Drosophila melanogaster: one gene and its partner. The protein of the gene in region 2 interacts with the protein of the main gene of each other region in a pairwise test. Each region holds a gene or a part of one and is shown on either strand. Other genes may lie near its edges.

Region 1 (3,759 bases), on a different chromosome or scaffold from region 2:
GCGACCTCTGACGTCACGGGGCGGTAAATCAAAGGCTTCACGTTGCGTTCGAAATCGTCGAGGAAAACGACATCGTGGACGGGAATAATGCGGTGATCGGTGACGTTGAAGTGGAGATCGCGAAAGGGGCCGTTGAAGAGGCAGCGCAACGGTGACGTCACCAGCACAGCATCTTCCGGAGGTAACTGTAAAAAATGTACAATATTTGTTGTATTTTAACGTATATCAAACATTTACTGATATAGTTTTATATTAAATCAAATACACCGCAACAAATCTCGTGCAAACATCAGATAAGATATTGATACGATACGATAATTAGTATAATATTTAAACAATGCGCAGTCAGGAGAAATATAGAATGGCTTATCAATTTTAAAATAAAACTAACGGAAACAGTAATATTGTACATATTTCAGTTTCAACTCAAAGCATAAGTTTCTCTGTAGCCAAGACACCATTTGGTAAGTTAAGAAAACTATTAAGTGGACGTTTTTTTTTTTACCTTGATTTTGCCATTGGTCGCCGAGAACATTGAGATTTCGAGATTTCAGCGATAAGAGATGAGCAACAACACAAATCAAATAGAATGCACAAGAAACACAGATACAACACCCACACATGAATGATCGTGCAACGGTGTGCGCAGAACAGTGAAGAGGAAGCAGAGAGACGAAGCAGAGGCGACAAATTGGACACGCGTGCGTCGCGTTGGTTGGATTTTGTGTTTTCTTATTTGACTATTGCCTTTTCGGTGCTACTTTAACGGGTTTCCCCGTTTCACAGCCTTTATCATCTTATTTTCGCAGGGCTTTTTTGCTTTTCAATTTACTGCCTGGGTTTCATTTAACTTCGCTGCTCTTCTACTTCATTCATTATTTGATTTGTTTACGTTGCTATTTCCCAATTTGTTTGCTTCTTTTCACTTCATTTTCTTTCAATTAGGACGCACACAAACACACAGGAAAAAACAAAAAAAAAAAAAGAGAGACACGAACGCCACTTGCACAATTGAAAATAACAACAAATTAATGGGAACGCGCGAAACACGGGCTGCTGCGGCTGCGCCTTCACTTTTCACTAAAACAAAAAGCACGTAAATAATGTTGAGACGAGATTTTGCTTTTTGTTGTTGATTTCTTTGCCGATCGCTCTGCCGCCGCTCGACTGCGCTGCCCGCGACACCGCGCTCTTCCAATTGGTCCAATTGAGATCAAACAGCTGGTGGGCACTCGGATCTTCGATTGCCGCTGTCTGGCAGCACTGGGAACAGTGAGAACAGTGGCCAGACTGCGGAGCTGGCGATGGGCGATAGTTTTGTTTCATTAAAAGTAACTTTTGACTTTATATTAAATACAATACTAAAAAATGTAAAAATATGCTTTTTAATATGCACTTTAAGTGAAAATGATTGTACATTAAGTTTACTTCATAAAGACTTTAATGACCATAATTTGTTGATGGGCGTTAATTTTATTCTAACTTAAATAAACGTAATACCTAATATTTATATGTAATAACAAAATAAAATGAACCTAAATAAATAATGCAATCCACTTTAATTTGACATTATAATTATAATTTTTTTATAAATATATAAAATAAAAATAATAAATAAATAATTTCCGTAGTTATTGTAATGTATTACTATGATGAGTATATGTTAAAAGCTTTAGTTAATTTTATTTAAAAAATCTGAAGACTAAATATGGAATGAATTACGCCAAATGAAATGAAAATATGCATTGAAAAACATGCTTTATACCTAAAGGCGTAATATACATAAAGTGTGCTTTTCAATAAAAAAGTGAATGAACATAATATGGAATCAAATACATATACAAATTGAAATGCAAGTATACATTGATACAATTAAGTATAAAAAATCACAATTGTCATTTAATTTGGTAAATATTATTAAACAATGTATATCAAATAAAAGATGTTAGTATTAATCGATATCTTTCGATTATTTTGTCACGGCGAGGCACGCAGCGAAGCGCTCATCTCTAGCTTCAGCCTCCTCTTCAAAACCCATAGAACTGGCAAAATAAAAAAAAACGAATCAAGCGCTGATTTTACCGAATCTCTTTACTGAATCAGCATATTATCATAGTCCATATAGTCCGGCGTTCGAACGGGTAAGTTGAACACTAAACGGGAGACATGGGAATTATTTAAAATTCGAGAAAAATCGGTGAAAAGGAAGAAAAACAAGTGATTGCATACAGTTAGTTACACACACGCGGCGGCCGTTACTCCTTGTACATGTGTGTGCGTGTCTGTTCGCGCTTCCGAATGTTTGTGTTTTAGTGAAGCGGCATAAGCGTGCATTATCTTGTACAAATGTACGCATTTCTCCATTGCCAACATTCGCTTCACACACAAATTACTCGTTTTCCATGCTGGAAGTGCCATCTTAGTCTATTTCCCAGTTGCAAATTGGAAAATCAAAGAGCGTTCTGCTGGCCAGCATGTGTGGTGCGCGTGTATTGGTGTTGCGGCGAGAGCGCGAGCGAGATGGGGCGATGCGTTGCATGCGGCAACAGCATATCTCTTCCATCTCTTTCGTTTTTGTTCTTTTCCTTTTTTTTTTGTCTTTTTTTTTTTTGCTGACAGCTCTCTATGCTTCTAATAAATATTTATGCACAATTTTTGCAGAGCTGGCGAAGTAAACTTCAACTTCGAGAGTCTCGGAATCTTTCGGACTTTGCTATAGAAAAAACGCTTGTTAAAAAAAAGGATGTAAGTGATGAAGATGAAACGTAATGTAATGAAACGCACACTAGTAACATACATACATACATATCGCTTGAGTACATAGATCACCGCCAATAACATTAATGTTCCATTTTTGCCTTGCAGATCACCATGTCGCACACCATCCTATTGGTACAGCCGGGTGCTCGTCCGGAGACCCGCACTTACTGTGACTACGAGAGCGTCAACGAGTGCATGGAGGGCGTGTGCAAGATCTACGAGGAGCACCTGAAGCGCCGCAATCCAAACACTCCGACCATTACGTATGACATTAGCCAGCTATTCGATTTCATCGACACAATGGTGGACATTAGCTGCATGGTTTACCAGAAGAGCACCAATACCTATGCGCCCTACAATAAGGATTGGATCAAGGAGAAGATCTATGTGCTGCTCCGTCAGGCGGCATTTAGTTCCAATACCTAAAGGGACGGCGATGCGACAAGATACATACATATAAAACCAAATAACACGATGATGCATGCATCAATGCGTGCAACACTAACGACAACAACACGTTGATGTATGCAACAATGCGTGCAATAGCAACTACAACAACAACAACAATACGAGGATACATGCAACAGCGCTTGGAACAGCATCCGCAACGGCCACAACACCATAACACCAATAACACCAACAAGATGAGGAAGAAGAAGAAGATGATGATGGAGTGGTGGGGCATCGATTCCATTGGAGACTTGCTGCTACCGACTAGATCGCCAAATGACAGCAACTTTTTTTTGCAACATAACGCAATGCAAAAAAGGAAAAGGAACACAAAGAGAACGATAAACTGTATAACTTAGAAATGGAAAACTTACTTTAAACGTACTAATATATATATATATATATAAATATATATATAGGCGTATATATATATATATACTGTATATACACCCAACTGACAACTGTGTGTGTTTTTGTGTGTTTCAATGTTTTTTTGTGCGGCAGCCACAGGTGACGGTTGTTCTTATCGATAGCGAACTGTATGTTTGT
Region 2 (3,273 bases):
GGCCGGCAATTGATAGGCCGCAAACATTTAGATATCTCATATTCCTTTGCATTTCTGACAGCACATAAAGCAAAAATGCAAACCTACAAAACTGCCAACTGCCGACTGCTGACTCACTCGAATCCGAATCGATATTCTGGTGGTGTTTTGCATGAACCAACCTCAGTTCGTTTTTTACATCACTCTTTTCATGCTCGGCTGGGATTTGAAGGGCCTCGTCAAAGTTGTTGTTACTTGGGCTGTTTTAGTCGCTTTTGTTGTTGCTGGTGTAGCGTGTCAACTTTAATTGCAGTGGAAAACGGAGACGAAGTCGTTTATGGGGCACTTTTTTATGCCAGCACTTTGGCAAGGCTAGGGGGTCGATGTCTCCGCCAACACGAACTTGCTCCAAAATCGGAACCCAAAATATCATGGTCTATATTTAAGTGTTTCCAAAAAAAAAAAGTCAAGGGAACGTGAAAATAAAATGTGGGTTCTCGTGCTAAATTTGAATATTTCATTGTAATAGGTTACGAAAACGGAAAGTTACTACTATTATTATTAATATTTTTTATTCTTTGAATTTCAGCAGTTTTGAATACAGCCAAGAGACAATTTTAGCCCAAACGTTCCTTTTACAAATCACCCTATTCCTTTTGAATTTGCTCAATGAAATGATCCTGGAATCTTGGGATCTTCTCCACGTAACCGCTGAACTGCGTCTCCGGCTCTCGGCTGCTGAGGAAGACGAGTTTCTGGGCACAGAGCTTGTAGAGCCAAGGGATGTCCAAGTAGTTGCAGCCCTCCATGATTTTGCAAATGCTATCGATTTCCACGCGCAGGAACTCCTTGTCCCAATCGGAGATCTGCAGCTCAATCTCCTCGGCCGGAAGAGGATCTTTGCTGTCCACCCAGGCGGGCTCTTCGTGTTTCTCATGGTACTCAGCCCACAGCAAGATCTTCAGCAGGACATTGCTGTGTATACCGTGCAGCGGCAGGACGAAGTCCTCATCCTCTGGGACCTGGCCAACGCGGCACATCTCCCGGATCACCAAGGATTTCTCGAGCAGAGCCAGATTTACGCTTATCGTACGGCCATCCCTTGTCTCGAATCGCACCATTCTTGAACCGAATTTCGAATAACAAATTAAGAGCTTCGGATCAGAAAGTCAGGGCCTACTGCTTGCAATCAATACGAACTAAACCACAAACTTGTGCCTACTCTACCTCTGGAAATTGTTCAAATTGGAGTTCAATATCGAAATAAACCACCATCTGCTGTAATCACAAAGTTTCCAAGCGACCAACCAAAGCCATAACCTCCGCAACAAAGGCAGTGACAATGAAAGAGAAAAGTGTAAAGAAGGCGGCTAGCAAATGGCCAACGACAGCAGAATAATAAAATAAAAGTTAGTAAACAAACGGAGGGAGGGACAGTCTGAAATTCACTTGAAATAATTACAAGAACTTTTTACGTCCGACCTTGGCCATAATTTTGCTGGCCAAGCTTTTTCTCGAAAACGAAAAGCAAAAAAAAAACTCGAGACAAAAGCTGTGCTGTGTGTCAATGAGATACGTACCCATACAGGCGCACTCAGAAACCTGGCCCACAATGCAAACACACAATGCCAATGTTTTATTTCTAACGACGACTCTCTTCGGCACTGCGCTCTGCTCTGTTTTGTAATTTAATTAATATACAAAAAATGTTTTGTATTTCTCGAAATGCTAATTACGCACAATGCGAATGACAATGAAACCGCCGACTGGCGGCCATTTGTTGTTCGTTTTTTTTTTTTTTTGCCCCTTTTTATCCGTTAACAGCTGGCTTTATGGCATTATAAGAGCCCAAAGGTTATTTATATCGCACCGATTGATTGATGAGTTCTTGCACTTGGCATTGATCATATCTGCGGGTACTTACATCTGGCAGGCCCTGGCATATTGTGCTGCTGACCAGGAGGAGCGCTGTGAAAAGGACCAGTGGTGAGGACATCTTACTGCTTCGGCCGCCTAGGGTGCTAATATAATCCTTAAAAATGCTTAAACTGCAAAGAGACGAAGGGGAAACGAAAATTAAATAAATTAAATATTAATTATTATTAGCCACATCCCATTTGCCAATATATTCACGCAATGGGCCAGCATGCAAAGTATTTATTTCCCAAATAATGGTCTTACCACCTCACATGACCATTAGTTCCCTGCCCACAAACCCGTCCTGGTCATGCTCGAATGGACAGCACTGTGTTTGCAACGCGAGTACAGTTAGCATCTGTTGTTGCAACTCAAACGCCGCTTGCTGCTTCAATTAATATTTACTTTTAGTTTTGTAGAAAGAAACCTAGTTTTCTGGCCCGCTGGCCGAGTAATTAATTATTGCATAAGGCCAAGAAGCAGCCTCGAGGCATAAAACAATCTTGTGCTGCCCTGTTGATTGCTGTTTGTGCTGCCGTTGCAGTTGCAGTTGCACATCCGCCCGCCATCGAATGCGGCTAATTGTCAATAATGATGCAGCGATGCGTGGCGAGGGGGTAACAGCATCCATCCAACCTTTTGACAAACCAACCAAGAAAACAAACAGAACTGACCAGCGGCAACAAAGGCAGCAACAGCAGCAGCAGCAGCAACAGCCGCTTCACGTTGCCGTGTCGCAACTTCTCAGCGACATTTACGACAAATTGCATGACATTTTATATCCCAAAGGTTTTGCACAATTTGCATGCAACGTGCTGCAAGATCCGAACTGCCGTGGCCCACTTCGAGTGAAAGAAAGTCTCGCCGGCGAATCGATCATCATCAATCGTAATGAAATGTTCGGCTGAGCAATTGCCAAATGTGGGTGGTACCCAGCCCAAGGCCAATGCCCCAAGACACTTGCTCATGGATTGGCGAAAATTGTAGGTAAGCGCAAGGAAAGTTCACTTTTTCCTATTTCAGCCGGCGGGCAGGCAAAAATGAGAAAATGGAATCGATATTTTGAGTAAACATGGAAAGCGCTTCAAAACAAAAGACTTAGAACACGAACTTGAGCTTAGAAGCATGACAAGGAAGCTTGCAAGCCACGTTCAAAGATGTGTAGCTACAAATAAGTGTAAAATCTTCCAAATAATATGAAAACCATTTTGGCCAAAGGTCAACCGACTTTTGCCACCATGTAATGGCCGTCAGAAGTCCATAAGAAAAGCATCAATGCTAACAGAAAGTGCCAGTTGGCAACCTTCGCGGCGAGACTTTCACCCAAAAGCAAAAGTGAATCAAGAGCATTGAAAAGTTTTAACTGAATCGCAACTA

The links.
Region 1: the proteins of CG15800 (region 2) and e(r) interact in a two-hybrid assay, tested with the Drosophila melanogaster proteins (one large-scale study listed by BioGRID).

The regions. Positions count from the first base shown.
Region 1 is NC_004354.4:8,904,491-8,908,249, reverse strand, and holds the start of e(r) (enhancer of rudimentary), read left to right. Parts: upstream 1-2,001; 5' UTR 2,002-2,141; intron 2,142-2,259; exon of another isoform or gene 2,260-2,481; intron 2,482-2,661; exon of another isoform or gene 2,662-2,745; intron 2,746-2,865; 5' UTR 2,866-2,871; coding exon 2,872-3,186; 3' UTR 3,187-3,759.
Region 2 is NT_033778.4:23,790,093-23,793,365, forward strand, and holds CG15800 (uncharacterized protein), read right to left. Parts: upstream 1,136-3,273; 5' UTR 1,101-1,135; coding exon 627-1,100; 3' UTR 522-626; downstream 1-521. Other genes in the region: sona (sol narae), read right to left, coding at 1,904-1,975.